Linked DNA regions of Saccharomyces cerevisiae S288C. Changing the gene in region 2 together with the main gene of any one other region gives a genetic interaction. Each region holds a gene or a part of one and is shown on either strand. Other genes may lie near its edges.

What was found. Genes that interact genetically often act in the same process or in processes that back each other up.
Region 1: mutations in IRC4 (region 2) and AHK1 together harm fitness more than expected from each alone (negative genetic interaction), as found in Saccharomyces cerevisiae (one large-scale study listed by BioGRID).
Region 3: mutations in IRC4 (region 2) and GFA1 together harm fitness more than expected from each alone (negative genetic interaction), as found in Saccharomyces cerevisiae (one large-scale study listed by BioGRID).

What each region holds. Positions count from the first base shown.
Region 1 is NC_001136.10:324,709-330,791, reverse strand, and holds AHK1 (Ahk1p), read right to left. Parts: upstream 4,180-6,083; coding exon 1,225-4,179; downstream 1-1,224. Other genes in the region: YET3 (Yet3p), read left to right, coding at 345-956; E3 ubiquitin-protein ligase BRE1, read left to right, coding at 4,643-6,083.
Region 2 is NC_001136.10:1,514,023-1,519,305, reverse strand, and holds IRC4 (Irc4p), read left to right. Parts: upstream 1-1,630; coding exon 1,631-2,170; downstream 2,171-5,283.
Region 3 is NC_001143.9:241,996-247,228, forward strand, and holds GFA1 (glutamine--fructose-6-phosphate transaminase (isomerizing) GFA1), read right to left. Parts: upstream 3,379-5,233; coding exon 1,225-3,378; downstream 1-1,224. Other genes in the region: SEG2 (Seg2p), read right to left, coding at 1-588; YKL104W-A (uncharacterized protein), read left to right, coding at 3,037-3,291; metalloaminopeptidase APE1, read right to left, coding at 4,143-5,233. UniProt on the Saccharomyces cerevisiae protein: Involved in amino sugar synthesis (formation of chitin, supplies the amino sugars of asparagine-linked oligosaccharides of glycoproteins).

The DNA.
Region 1 (6,083 bases), 1.2 Mb from region 2:
ATCGCGCATTTATTTGAGTCATTCTCTGCCGCTTTATTATTAAAAGTCTGTGTGCTATCAAAATGCTCTTGCTCCTGTTCACCCTCTATGCGTAAACACTTGCGCGTTTCTCCCTTTCTCTTTTAGCGTTGTTGACGTTGCACTCTTTTTTCGCCTCTTTCTTTTTTTAGCTAGAGGGTCACCCTGCCTGCTTCACTCCATTAAGGGGAAGAAGAGTGGAAAAGTGCCGTATATAACAATGGTATATAGCAAATCCCGATTTAGTAGGAAGATAGAATAGTGAGCTCTTCCAAGGTAACCACGTCACATTATACTCATAACCATAGAATTCACAGAATTGAATCATGTCATTATATTACACCTTGGTTTTTGCCATTCTAGTGGTGGAGATTTTCATGTTCTCCATTCTAGCCCTACCAATCCCTTCTAGATACCGTAGGCCTCTCACCTTACTGTTATTAAAGCCGTTCAAATCCTCCACAGTGCAAGTTGCGATCAAGTGTGTACTTGGGTTCATTCTTTTGCTTTTCATCGATTGTATCAACAGAGTGTACAGCATCGACAAAGAGCTGCAGTTAAGTAGCGCCTCTCAAAATAATGGCGCTATAATCGCTCAAGATAGAATTGAGGTTCTTTCTAGGAAATTCTTTGCCCAAAGGAATATGTATTTGACAGGTATAACTTTGTTTTTGACCTTTGTCGTCGTTAGGACTTTTGGGCTAGTCATAGAACTTTTAACCATGAAAGACATATACAGAGCATCGCCTCCAGTAGCCTCCAGCGATGTCAAGAAGAACGACTCTGTTACTGCCGAAGCTGCTGCTCAATCCGGCGCTTCCAAGGATGACCACGGCGATGAGAAAAATTTTGAACTATTGAAGAAAATTCAGGACATCGATGACGAAATTGCACGTTTAAAGGAGAAGTCGGAATCGTTGCAAGAAGAAATAAATTAGTTTGACGTTTTATTCCTTTTCTTCTGCACAGAAGTGTGTATATATATATTTATATATAGTCGATGTGCAAAAGCCTACATTATTTTTCTTTTGATTTTTATTTTTTTGTTCAAGTAGGTTCATGCCGACAGTAAATCCTTATGCCCTACCTAAATATAAACACCCAAATATATATATATATATATATATATATAAATAATAAAAACGGAAAGGAAATAGAATAATAATAATAATACTACACGTTTACGTATGTAACTCATTCTATTATTCAGACTTTGATATTAATAGAATTATTACTACTAGGTTTCCTCACTTCAAAATCTATAAATATACCGTCATGCTCTAATCGATTGGAAAACTCAAAATATTCTCTTACTGTAGCATTGAACGTCTCAATTAAAACACAGATTTTTTGTATCCTTGTTCTCAACTTCATATCTTGGATCTGCTTCCAAATTGTCACCTCCCGCCCCCCAGTAACTTTCAAATCTTCCACATTCTGATTACCAATTTTGGCTACATCTTGCTCATCTTCCATACATTTGCCAAAAATATTAAAATCAGGCACCGGTATCTCAAAATCTAGACCATTACCGCATAAGGTAGCTAAGTTTCTCGTCTCACTTTCGTTCTTAGCAACACTCGCAACCAAATCTTTCGGGACGGGTAAAGGCTTCATGTACTTACTGCCTCCGTGGATTGTCCCCCATTTCATGTTCGCCAAATCTATTTTTTCGACGACTCTTCTATTGGTTTGAATAAATACCAGTTTGAATATTGTAGCAATACTATTGTGTTCCTTGATTTCATTAGAAAATCTCAACTCTGGTGGACCTATCAATATATTCTCCCTCCTATTGAGCTTGATACTTGAATTATATGATACCATTGATCCTGAATTGTTACCATGCTTAAAAATTTTTTCAATATTACTAGATGACTGCTTCGGCAAAATTTCTGCAAAATCAGCCACATCTTCATCATATTCAAAATCGTTGCCTAATTCATTTGCCTGTTCCTTCTTCTTCTGTGAATCTTCAGAAGTACTTGAAAATTTTGAAAGCCAAGTGTTCAGTGTTGCCGATAAAGAACTATTACCTTCCTTTCTCTTATTTTTATGCGAGCCACTATCTTCTGAGTCTTCATCATTATCTTCGTTTTCCTGACCTCCTTCGTAGCCATCCATAATTTTGTGATTTTTTTTGGGATTTAGTCGGGTCTTCTTTTCTGCAAGAAGAAAGGCAGCTTTACTTGTCATTTCGTCCAAAATATCATAAGCGTATTTACCATTTTTCAAGATAACGTTAGGTCTTGTATTTGCCACTGAGCTGACAGAGGGAAATCTTTCTGTAGTTAAATTTTTATCATGATTAATCTTATAAACTAAGTGGTCCTCTGTATTTGGTTTTTTTGGAATCATCATCAAACGTGAGTTACCATTAAAAACGAGAGCATTCTTTCTATGCGCCACTATATCATTTGAATCGTGTTTTTGCATCTCAAATAACTCCTCCTTGTTTACCAGTAGCTCTTCATATAGTTGTTTAATTCTATCATGTGGCAAGAATCGTAATGAAGAAGAATTTTGAACACTTGGAATGATTTTAAAAACTAATACCTTCATAAATAAAATTCTAATCAAAGGAAATTCGTTTTCAAAAATCAATGACTCCCAAAAATCACTTAACAGCACTTTTACTATTTCATCGCGGTCCTCAATGGTTACGTGCTTCCAAATATTGAAAAGGCATAATAAAGAAACAGTCTGGCAGTTAACATTTTTGGTCCTTAACATACTCAAAAGCCCATTGTACCACGACCTCCATTGAATGAATTTCAGAGAAGGTAAACTTTCAAACTGGAAAATAATAAACTGGAGAACCTTATTGTAAATGACGTTCGCTGCAATATAATCGTACGCTGAAATAGTGGAGACATAGTCTATCAATAGAGACTCATGTAAGGAAAGCATATTTTCCAGGTATTCCGGATGATTTTCTTTAAGAATGCATCCTGAAAGGCTTCTAAGACATTCCCATAATTTGATTGTCTTAAAATTAGAAAATACGTAATCATTAATCCTTTCAGATGTAATTAAAGCATTGCTACTATTCAAACTCTTGAAATTTGGATGTGACTCTGTCACATTCTCATTTGCTATCCTTGGATTCGGCGTTTGTTTAATAATCCGCGTGAATTTATTCAAATCTGAATTCAAGAATCTAGTGGTTACATGCGTCAATAAAATTTCTGAGCCAGGTATGCATGACAATGTCGATTTTTTAATTCCTACATCTGAATCAGAGAATTTCATAAATTGAAGTATGATATACCAATAGTGCCAATAAAATGACATAAGTACAAAATCATTTTTAATATAAGAAACAATGATCTTAAAAAATTTAGTATCTTTATTTTCAAAAGCTTCAGTGCGGATCATTTGTCCCTGATCGTCGGTGAATTTATATTGTCTCTTCTTCCATGAAAACAAAGATGTTTGAATACTTGAAGAGATTTGAGGAGAAACTGTCAATAACAAAATTGTATCGAAATGAAAGTCTTCTGGTAGATAAAAAAATGCGTAAGCATTTAACTTCCCGATGAATGCTCGCAGCAAGGAAGAATATTTGTTAAGGTATTGCAGCTTCTTGTCGTTTATAGAGCACTTGTCATCACTATTTGTACGTTTAAGTTTTTTGGAGTTTTTAGAAATCAAAATCAACTTGTTTGTTATGCAATGAATGGTCAGCAAAAGATGATGTGAGTATATTTCCATGTCTCTGGATGAATGGAAAGGCAATATTATTAGTATGGTCATAATTTTGCTGAGGCACTCGAGACACACGGAAGTTAGTTCTATGCTCAAGCTCAATTCAAGGGCAGTATCTATTTGAAGCGAGGTGTCAGAATTTAGAAAGTTTAAAAGTGTGACCCACCATTGGGTCAAAACATCTCTAACCTCCAGTGTACAGTTGCTTCGTGAAGAATCACACCATTGTCTTAGAACCGTTAGTAGTTTCAAGCGTAAAAAATTTGAGGAGGATTTGCAAAATTTTGTATTTTGTTCTTTATTACTAGCTGACTGATTAGCATTGTTTATGAAATTGATAAACCTGTTCAACGATTGAAATAATTGAGTTTCATAATTGTCCATCAAGAAGCCATCTTGAGACGTAGTCTTTAATCCACATTCATATAGTTGATTATGTATGGCAGGACCCATGCTTAATGAGCAATATGATCTTTAGTGCTACAACAATGCGTATATAGCATACGAAGCACAATCGAGTTCAGAATTGTTTCTCTACCCACGAAAGATAATATTGGGAAAATCACTGGTGAAATTCTGAGATCGTTAATTTCAGTGGATTCAAAAAGAAAGAGCAGATCGACAATAGGCACTAAGGATGTCTTCTAACTTTGAAATGAAGCACCAACTGATCGTACTTTGATCAAACCATCGTTATTATATAAAAGTGACAAAAGCATTTGATCACGTGATTATAATCACATCCAACGAAACTTTCTTAAAGAAGGCGAAAAAACAAAAAAGAAGAAGATTAAAAAAAGTTGGATGGATGTTGTTTGAACGGTAAACTAACAGAGAGCGCCCCAAGGTTTTTAACAGAGATAGAAAGGGCTTTCACCGTTTTTATGCTAATCGTGCTAGCTGATAATAATCAGATATGACGGCCGAGCCTGCTACTAAGAAGATCAAGCTAGAATTAAGCGATCCTAGTGAACCGCTTACTCAATCTGATGTGATAGCGTTTCAAAAAGAAGCTTTGTTTAGATGTATAAATCGTCGAAGAGTCGACTTTGAAGCCTTGCGAAAGCAATATGAACTTTCAAGAAGGGAGTGCATAGATGTTTCCCGCAAGTTGGCAAATATTATGGCGCTGATAGTAACTTTAGCTAGGTTTATCGAAACATTCTGCACAGACGCCAACGAGAAGCAACTATGTAGGGAAATAGCCCAAGGCGATGAGACGTTGATAGTTCAGCGCAGTGATTCTTTCATGAAGCTACTGACTAAATATGGGAAGCCAAACACGACAGATAGTAATACTAATAGTAATGCTTCGGATCATATTCAAGAATTAACAACGGAGTTAAAAAACTTGCGGAAAAGTAAAGAGGAGCTCTTTTATGAAAATTCGCAATTGACAGAGGAGATTTCTGCTTTGAAGGAATATTATACAAATATAATTCGCAAGTATGATAGAGATGAATCCTTTACTATAAAACGTGTTTTTAAGGAAGATAAGACTGATGCTGTAAAGGAATTACGGGAAGATGAAAAAGAATCTAATGAAAACAATATAAAATCTGGAAATAAAGACTCCTCTGCAATTAATGGTGATAATACATCCAAAAAATCCGAGAAAGGTGATGAACTTGTGCAGGCGGAGGATGAACGAAAAGAAGATGCTGAGAATGAAAAATTAGAATTGGATCTGAAATTTTCTGATTTACGGGCAGAGATAAACTCCTTGAGTTCCACTATAAAAGACCTTGAAAATATCAGAAGGGAAAACGAGGAAGAGCTCATCAAAACACGTTCTGAGGTATCCAATTTAAAAAAGCAACAGATAGCAGCAGCAGACCAAGACCCAGATTTCAAGTCATATGACCATGAGTCCCTGTTAGCAAAAATTCAACATTTGACTGAACAAAACGCAGAATTATCTGAGATCAATAGTTCCTTTTTATCAAAATTTCAAGTTTTAGCCAAAGAGAAAGAAATATATACGAAGAAGGTCCGAGAAGAATTCCAGAAAAGTCTCGACTCCCTAGTAGAAATGAACAGTTCATTGGAAAAGGACGTTGTAAGAATAAGAACGGCTCGTGATGATTTACTAAGCAAAATCGCCATTTTGGAAGCTGAAAAATCCAAGACTGAAGTGTTGAGCGATTTACAACATGCAATTGATATTTTGAAGGAGCAATGGACAAAAATTGATCAAAGATCAAACGATACAAAATCCTCGTCGACTCAAGATGCATTAATAAAGGAAATTCAAGACTTAGAGAAGGGTTTTAGAGAGTTATCCGACTTAACTCATAAAAAGTACTCTGAGATTATTAATCACGAATCTGTTATATCCAAGCTTACCGTAGAAAAAA
Region 2 (5,283 bases):
TATACTTTTTAGGCGTAATATCAGATGGAATCAAAGAAATTATAGAAAACAGTAGATCAGAGATCCTGCCTTTGGAATTCTGTAATTCAACATATGGAAAAATTGATGCGAAATCACAAGAGTACAGGGATAATTTGGTAATGTATCTCACTAGTTACCATTGTTTTGCTACGCGTACTATCTCGTTTCAATCACCTCTTCTATAATATTACTAAAAAATGTTCATATGTTATATGGCGTACCGATAAAGTTATTGCATTTCTCATGCGATTTTAACTTCCTTTTCAAGTCAAGGATACTTTGTGCAAGCGTAAATCCTTGCTCAATCTCCTCTGCTCAAAATGAAAAAAAAAAAAACGCAGAATCATATGCAGGATGCAATATTGCTTAAATGATTCTATATTTTGCACTTATGTGTGAAGAGTGTAATTTTTGATCTTCCATTTTAATGTTATGCACATAGAGCTGAAATTAAATGCGTCATATATAATTATTATGAGTGAGTGGATTTTGAGATAATTATTGGGAATTCATTATTGCTTGAGATAATATTATTACTTATACAGAATACACTAGAAGTGCTCCTCGGGGACATAGAGATCCATAAAAGGGAATCGATAATTCTACACATTAATCTGTTTTATTTCTTTATCTGTTTTACACGTTTTCATTCATTATCTTATTACAAAATCAGCCCTTGCGCTTCATGTTCCATTATACTCGCAGACTGTTTCTCATCATTTATCTCATCTTTAACTCCATTCAGTATATTATCTTAATAACGCGACTACTAGTAGTGAATAATGGTCAATTTTTACTTCAGAAACTTCCCTTGATTTCATTCATAGATGTTATTTCATTGTCAATTTTTACTCTTACTCACCGATTTGAATGACAGTAAAGAACTTTGCTCAATTAATATTATATTTGTTGTTATCGTCTAACGCTGTAAGTATATGGTACTATCATAAGAACCTCAGTAGTGGAATATGGTTGTTTCTTGTGCTGACATGATTCCGGATGGCCTGTAGGAAAGTATCCAAGATTTTTATTATCAGATACCGGTATGCATTCCATAATGCCAGAGTTTGCGTTCTTACGTCAAAGAACAATGATGCTACGGAGCGCAAGAAAGTGACGTGGCCAACTATCAGCGCGCTAGGATATGTATGCACTGCCGAAAGGCTGAAGCGTATCGTACATTAATTCATAAAGAGAAAGAAATCTCAACCCTGAATTTAGGATAGCGAAGTGCAATAAGAAAAACTTTACCATTGTTTTCAGGATGAATTCTATATCAGCCTGTTTATATAAACAATTTGACAATAGTGCGTAAAGCTAAAAAAGGAAGCATGCCCTTTGTTCCTTATCGGGTGGAGAGGGCCGCACTTAATCTCGAGCGGATATCAGGTACCAAAAGCCTAATTGAAGCAGGCAAATTTTTTTTCCCTATTTTCTTTTATTTGAGTGTGTACATACTAATATAAATTTGATCAAATAATGAATGCGATTAAAAATCAATATTGGCAAATGGAAAAAAATCTAATAGCGGCTAATAGTGAGACTTACATCGCTATAGATTGGTAATTAAACGAATTAAATAATAACAATTGAAAAAAAAAAAACTATCATGAGAGAATATACCAGTAAAAAAGAACTAAAGGAAGAGATTGAAAAAAAATATGAAAAATATGATGCAGAATTTGAAACAATCTCTGAATCTCAAAAAGACGAAAAAGTTGAAACAGTGGATAGAACACCCTCTGAAAACCTCTCTTATCAATTGGGCTGGGTTAATTTATTATTAGAGTGGGAAGCAAAGGAAATTGCTGGGTATAATGTGGAAACTCCTGCGCCTGGTTATAAATGGAACAATTTAGGAGGATTATACCAGTCATTTTATAAAAAATACGGAATCTACTCCATTAAGGAGCAAAGAGCCAAGCTGAGAGAGGCCGTAAACGAGGTCTATAAATGGATATCTACTTTATCTGATGATGAGCTCTTTCAAGCGGGAAATAGAAAATGGGCTACAACTAAAGCTATGTGGCCTGTGTATAAATGGATCCATATCAACACGGTTGCTCCTTTCACAAACTTTAGAGGAAAAATTAGAAAATGGAAGAGACTAGTGCCTGAAGAACAACGCATAAAAAGGAGGAAGATATAATGAGAAAGTTGTATATGGCCGTCTATTTTTTTTCTTGCAGGATTTAGAAACTACCACAGGAAAACCTTTTTTAATATCATATTTTTTGATATTATTATATTTGAGAAATGAATCTCGATTATTATGAGTCAATTTAACAAAACCTCATATAATGTACAGCAGTATAAAGACAAAACTCTCTTACGCTTACCATAGCCTCAATAACATGTCACAATACGAACTTTTTATGTTCTTCCCATATATTTTATTGTACTCTACACACACAGTATTGATCATATAGTTAATTTACCTTACTATACGCTAACCTTTAAAGCAACAAAGATATAGACGATACCATACATGAATGTCGATCAGAGACGTATGGTATAGCTTGTGTCACATTCTGCTATCGTATATGGTATACATGGCACATACTTTAAATTTTAAAGTAATGTCACTTGATTAAGATCTTTCCTATACGTCAAGGTCTCGAGATAAAACTTTATGTCTCAAATAATACATGCTAGGCATATAATGACCCATTTTCTGGAGTTGATGTACTCAAGACATTGGTTAAATATCAATCACGCATGATGATAGTGCGCCCTATTATAACCCATTTTTGTCATCGTCATCACGCTTCATCACCTGAGAAAAGTAACATACAAACTCAACGCCTACTAAGATTAATACATCAAAAACGATATCGTTGCCATGTACGTGCCCTAACTGCAGAAGAGAACTTCAACACTTGGACTAAAATTCACATGAAATTCTCCTAACATTCTAACATCGGTGACATCATTCCAAACCTCTTTGTAAAAGAATATATGAACAACATATGCATTAGAATAACGTGCCGTTAATTTTGCTCGAATTAACTTACCCCAGACTTGACAAAAATCTAAAAACTAACTACTCAGAAACACAAGCAAGCCTTGTGCATAAGAAAGATGTAAATCCATAGCATCAGCAGTTTCGAACTTGATACACCTCCAATTATTGCTTCATAAAGAATACATCTCCGTCTGGTAATGCGATGGCCCCGGTTTAGAGTACCCTTCTTGCGCAAGGTACTTGTGTGATAAGTAGCGCATTTTTTGCACATCACGTATGCTACTTTTGTATTCTTCACTAGCAGGCACTACAGTTGAAATAGAATTGAAGCTTGAAGTGTCGTATGGGTTATTCCGATTAGTTCACCTATTCGCATATTACGATTTTATAATCAGAGTGATATCAATGAGTATTATAACCTTTAAGTCATTGTGCTTATGCTATCTATAAACGTCCAGCGGCACATAATTCATCTATTTATGCAATTCCTACAATAAATGTTGATATCTTCATGGAAATTTCTTAAGCACAAACTTGTATTTAATATCCTGCATAAAGAAAACAGACATCTAGAAAACTTTCATAATTTTCAAAATAATCTTCCTTTATACACACTCTAGCGACCTGGGTTTACATTTCCGTGTATGATTGCTTTATATAATAGGACAATAAAGGAAAGTCGCTAGAAGAGAATATTATAGAAAGCTAAAGTGTTTAGAAACAGATGACTTAGAAGCACCTCTGTAATGTGGAGACAATGGTCTCAAGTTGGCGCATACATCAGTTTGCCACAGCGACAGAAGTATAACCGATTAACTCAACATGAAGGATCCTAGAATATACCGCAAGATTCGATTATCGATCGTCTACTACATCATAGTAGCAGTTAATATTACTAAAATACATGCATCTTTTGTATGATACATGATCAATATATATGATTATATTACTTCTTTCAGTTTAGCATTTTAAGGATATTAGCACCACAGGCAGAATCCCACTTTTTCAGTCTCTCATACTCTCTCAGTTTGATTGAGATTTAACAATATCAGCACATTTTAGAAGATGCTACAGTCAAATACCGCCTCATCTAAAGCATGTTCTACATATATCACAACGTCACGTTGAATAAGGCCATGTGACACGGGTTTCTGCCGGTCGACATTCCAAGCATTGTATTACAATCTTCTTTCATTATGACATACTATTGCATTTTCTAGGGAATATTCAAAGCTTGTCCATACCGAATATAAGCGATCACGTTTTGATTACCATTTTTTTTTTTACCTACTCTGTCTTTAATATTAGAACTATACATGGGTAAGATTGGTAGATGATAGTATATACCTATAATTACAGTTTCATAGAATGGAACTTTTAAATTTTATTCTAACTTTTATGAAATACCTTAAAGCGCAAAATACAGGCTGACAGGATAACCACAATGTCTCAAATCCCACCTGCATTAGCTATTTTTAATAATCAGTTCATTATTTCCATTTTCATGTATACGGTTACTATGCAATTAATGGTAATGCATATTCATTGGCGAAGGCAGATATCTCCAAAAGTTCATTCAGCACGAAAAAATGCACCGCACGCATCAAATGATGTTTTGAATTTTAGCACTTATGTTTAAAGACTATTCGTTGATAATCCATTGTTTCCACTATTTTCAAAATCTTACCAAATGACAGCTGAACTTGCCGGAAAGCAGGGTTTTTGTAAAAGTAATACCGTTCCTTGCAATTGCATACAGGCCATGAGTACTAAAAATACTGTGGTCATTTTATGCAATCACTAGACACTCAAGAAACTGTAGAAAAAGATATCAGCAGAATACAAAAAATCTTTAACGAATGATTGTATTGGAGATTTGGAGTCTTAAATAGCTATGTGGCATTTAATTGAGTCTATTGCATAGTTCCTTTGATTTTATGTACGCCCTCGCCACTATATTTCAATGATATAGTGATTCAACTTATAGAGTACATATCTGCTTAGGAGCAACATACTTGAATCATTTTTGTTAGCTACATTCCTTAAATGGTCGCTAGGGAGAGAATTTCTAAGCTATTCAATGATAAAAGCGGAAACAAATATTATCTTTTTACCGTTTGAGGTACTCCGAGCAATACTAGAACAACTAGCAACTTTCTTTTTGATGTTAAATAATTATGCCCTAGATTAACCGATATTTGCTGTTAATATAGTCCATTTATTTTTTATGTGCTGTCAGAAATATTGGTTTATAGAATGAAATTAAAATAACCAATGCTTTAACGATGTTACATTTA
Region 3 (5,233 bases), on a different chromosome or scaffold from region 2:
ACTAGTTTTGTTGTTTCGAGTAGGCAAAGAATATGCTCTACCACCTCGTTGGTTTGAGCGGTTGCTCAGACTGTATCTAGGAGGCTCTACTTCCACGGGTACTTCCACAGCCATTAACCCCCTAGGGCCTGGTATGTATTTTTTTATCGTCCTTATTGTGCTGCCTGAGTTCCCAAGTGATGTGGTCCTTGATTTACTATTCTGACCAGTCGAACTTGAAATGTTTAAAACCTTCGATGACTGCTTGCCTCCAAATTCTCGAAACGTGGTTTCTGCATCCTCGTGAGCCCTGTGTTGCCTTCTCCCCGCCGAATTATTAGAGGTATTCTTATGTCCTTGGTTTGGCAAACTCGACGTGCGCTTAGAGTATTGGCGAACGTTACCATTCATTAAGAGCATCCTTGAGTTAGTCCTAGAATTCGAGAGCATTGTATACCTATTAATCCCTGCGATTGACGTAGTTCGAGAGGTAAAACTCTGATTGTATTGCGGTATTTTACTCTTGTCAACGGTCCTCCCATTATAACTGAGCGCATTTCCAATTGCTGCTGCTGCTGCTAAGGCATCTGGACTACTTTCTTGGATCATCCCGCTATTTCCAATGCTCCCACTATTTGTTGATACTTGCCTCTTTCAGAGCTATCTGCCTTATGTTGATTATTAGGGTTAATAAATGCTATTTCCTCCCGCAATAATTGTGTAATTTGAACGAAGAATATGAAGAAGATGGAATGGCGATTTTCACTCTAAATTTTAAAAATTGCCTCTTTACAATAGCGAATTTCCTAACCCTTTTTTTTTTTTGTTGATTGCCTATTGCTCGTTCACTTCCCATTTATTTTCTCTCGAATTTCACCAAAAGTTGATGTGGATAATCAATCATCGGGCCTATTCCTGCGGGTAAAACGCAGGGCCCAACTCAGGATAGGGTTTAATATTATTTTAGAGGACTTACAAGAAGGAAGTTATATGGTTTAAAAATTGTAACAAAGTTAGAACACATTTATTTAGCAGGTCTAATTTAGGGCTGCAACTATCTTTTTGGTTATTCATATAAAATATAATTTTTTATTTATATAGAGAATACAAGTGGAATCATCTTTAACGCCAGCTTGTAGTGCGCATTGCAGAATAATGGAAGTTCAAAAATTAAAAGCGAAGGAGAAGTGATAGTAGAAAGACGGATGGGAGGCTGGGGGACGAAGAGAAAGTAAAAGGGTTAATTTATTCGACGGTAACAGATTTAGCCAAGTTTCTTGGAAAATCAACATCAATCCCTTTATTAACAGCCAACCAATATGACATTAGTTGTAATGGAATAATATTAATTAGACCTTGTAAACAATCAACAGTTTGTGGAACTTCTAAGGTTTGCAGGTCGATTGATTTAGATTTTTGCGCCCACACTTCATCATTTTCGTTACAAATAATAATTGGATGGCCCTTTCTTGCAGTAACTTGCTCAATAGAGGAAACTACTTTAGGGAATAGAGAGTCTCTGGTACCAAAAGCAATGATTGGCAAGTTTTCGTCCACCAAGGCCAAGACACCGTGCTTCAACTCACCTGCCAAAACACCTTCAGAATGCATATAAGAAATTTCTTTGATCTTCAAAGCACCTTCCAGAGCAGCAGCAAATTGGTAACCTCTACCCAATAACAATAGAGATTTTTGATCCTTTAATTCAGTCGCACAGAGCTTTTTTATTCTTGGTTCCAGCTTTAATACCTGCTTAATTTGGCCCGGGATTAACTTCAAGCCTTGAATGATTTCAATTCTTCTGTCTATTTTCGATACACGGTCATCTGACAGCGATAGAGCAAACATCACTAAGGCAATATACTGGGAAGTATAAGCTTTTGTAGAGGCAACACCAATTTCAGGACCAGCGTTAATATGAACACCACAGTGGGTGACACGAGAGATAGAAGAACCAACACTGTTAACAATTCCGACAGTTAAGGCTCCTCTTTCTAAACAATAATTTAGAGCCAGCATGGTATCCGCAGTTTCACCACTTTGTGAAACAAACACGCATACATCGTCTCTGAAGACAGGGCATTTTCTGTCCAGAAAGTCAGACGCTAATTCCACACTAACTGGGATATCTGATAATTCTTCGAAGATAGCACGAGTAGCCAAACATGAATGATAAGAAGTACCGCATGCGATCATGATCAGTCTCCGTGCTCTTCTGACAACTGGTAACCATGCCTTTAAACCACCCAATATCACTTTATTATTTTCATAGTCGATTCTACCTCTCATAGTATTGAAAGTAGATTCTGGTTGCTCATAGATTTCCTTTTGCATAAAATGGTCGTAAGGGCCCTTCATGATCTGAGCTAACTCCATCTCTAAAGTTTGAATGGACCTTGTCATTGATGCGCCTACTTCTCTTCTAGATCTATGAATATGTAACTCACCATCGTAAATATGAGCCAAATCGTCATCTTCTAAAAATAGCACCTTCTTGGTATGTTTAACAACAGATGCCGCATCCGAAGAAACAAAAAATTCCACCGGTGTTGGAGATCCATCTTCTGATAGGAAAGCCCTGGATTGAGAATGTCTCAAGTTAAATTCATTGGCGGCAATTGGTAGTAAATTGGCATTTTGGGAACCAGCTTCAAATTCACGAGCTTTCTTTGGGCCCAAGCCAAATGATTTGTTGTTAGATTTCAATGGAATTTCCGGTTGACCAGCGTTTTCTTCGGGAAATTCCACATCCACGAAGTCGACTTTTAGTTTTTTTTCAGATTTGACACCAATCAGTAAAGGGGACCCTTTTCTAGTGGCGATAACCTCATTAGGATAGTGACAAGATTTACATAATAACCCGTATGAACCTTCTAGTTCTAAAAGAACTAGCTTGGTTAATTCGTGGAAATCTAAGTCATGCCCATTTTGTAAATTTGTATTGTATAAATGCAAATATAGTTTAGCAATACACTCGGTATCGGTATCACTTTCGAATTTATAACCTTTGTTAATTAAAAGAGTCTTCAGTTCTCTAAAATTTGTGATGATACCATTATGAACGACCACAAATTGGTCTTCTGGGTCAGATCTTTGAGGGTGACAGTTAACTTGTTCTGGTCGACCGTGAGTAGCCCATCTAGTATGCGCAATACCACAATGAGAGACAAAAGTAACGTCTCTGTTCGGATTTTGCTTAGTAATCTCCTCTTTCAAAGCACTCACTTTACCGATTTGCTTATAGATGAAAGTAGAATCAGCTTCGTCACCATCGATAGCAATACCGGTGGAATCATAGCCTCTATATTCTAATCTTTGTAAACCATCCACTAAGGTGTCGATAATTTCTCCTCTGGATCTTTCCACTAGATAATTGCAGTAACCAAAGATACCACACATTTTTTTATAAAAGTTGCTGTTGATTTGCTCGAGAACTTATTGCTTATTTGGCCCTGATAACTATATAAGAAAAGAAATACAGTTATTCCTTGTTTATGCTGGCTTTTTGTCCACTTTTTCTCAACTATATAACTATGATGTTGGAAAGGACACCGGTTCTGTAACTTTGCAGTGAAAATAAGTGTGATGGATGACTGAGAATGCTTTCTTGTAAGCGAAAAGAAGTACGTGTTCCAAAAATAAAGCAGAAAGGCGAAAAGGGTCGAATGTAAGACACTAAATAAATATTTTAAGAAGAGGAAAAGTCGCCTCAGAAACGCTAAAATGCATCCGATTTCCCAAAGAGGAAGTCTAATGTTTTCGATTTGTGAAAAAAAGATAAAAATCGAAGAAAATGTAGGGAGCCGCGCGTTACCCGGATTGATATTTGAGTGATCGACGGCGTCACAAAAGAAAGAATGCTTGGCTAATCAAGAAAAGTATGTGGTTTGTTTCATCTAATACGGCTGTCAAGGCCCACATTGGTGTTCAAATGCATTTTTTATAGTTCGTGGTTACTGTTAATATTCTTTCCTAGTAGAATGTTTGGGGTTTAGGTATTTTTGATGTTTTATTTATAAATAGATATTTATATCTTGACGATTGTGGTGTTTTATTTTTTTTTTTTTATACATTTTTCTTTTCTTCCTGATTCGAAATAAAAGTATTTTTAGAAAAAGGATAAAGAAACAGAAATCAAAAGAAATAAAAAGAGTGTGGCAAAATCACAACTCGCCGAATTCATCGTAGACTGATCTCCAGTGCTTGAAAAATCCGTTGAAGAACTTAACACCTAATCCGACATCCTTGGACCCTGTAGCAGCTCTGATGCTGTGCATGGACAACTGTGCAATTCCCAGGTCTATGGTACGAGCACCTGTTTGAGAAGCCAATGATGGGCCGATAGTACCACCTGATCTTGAGTTGTTTTTGATTTGGAAATATTGCACTTTGTCTCCATTGCGGCGTGCTAATTCTTCTACTAGGGCAGTTCCTACGACATCTGTGGCCATATGACCGTTAGGATCCAGTGATAAAGTGATTCCGACATTAGGCACTGGAAAATGATTCTTCAAATAGACTTCAGGAAAGTTTGGGTTGTAGAGGTGGTTGACGTCTGCGGACAAGATGATGGAATTAGCCCAAACCGTATGCAAATCGACCGGTTTCTTAGTGAATGCAGAAGAACTGCGTTCCACCACTGACTCCAACAAGCCACCTTTTGCGCCTTGTCTTGTCAACGATCCGATTTCTTCATTATCATACAAAGTGACAGTAGAGAATAAATCTGATTCCTCGGTATTAACATCCTTAGCGTAGCAAATCAAAGCAATCATTGCTGCGAAACTACACAACCTGTCATCTAGACGTGGTGCAAAAAGGAAGTGTTTACCAATACCTCCAATGGTACCCTTTTGCACATCGAATAAGTCTAAATCCATTTGAATCAATTCGGACACTTCCACACCGGCTAATTTGGCAACGTACCTTAACAGGTGGATGCAGTGTTTGCCAAATAAGGGCGATTTCTTTTCATCATCCGTGGGAGGTTCATTACCTTCCTCATCCGGAGTGGGGAAGCCGATGACCGGGATAGTTTGGTCCTCTTTATCAAATGGGCCTTCAGCAGGTTTACCGAAATGGGGAGCCAAGGAAGGAATTCGACAAACAGGTAGGGGTGTAGAATCAACCAAGGCGCTTTTAATTTCGTTAGTGCCCTTCTTCTTGTAAAGAAGGCGACCACCAATACCTAGGTCTCTGTCTAGCCACAATTCATTCAGTGTACCTCCATAGGGAGCAACAGCAATTCTTCCGT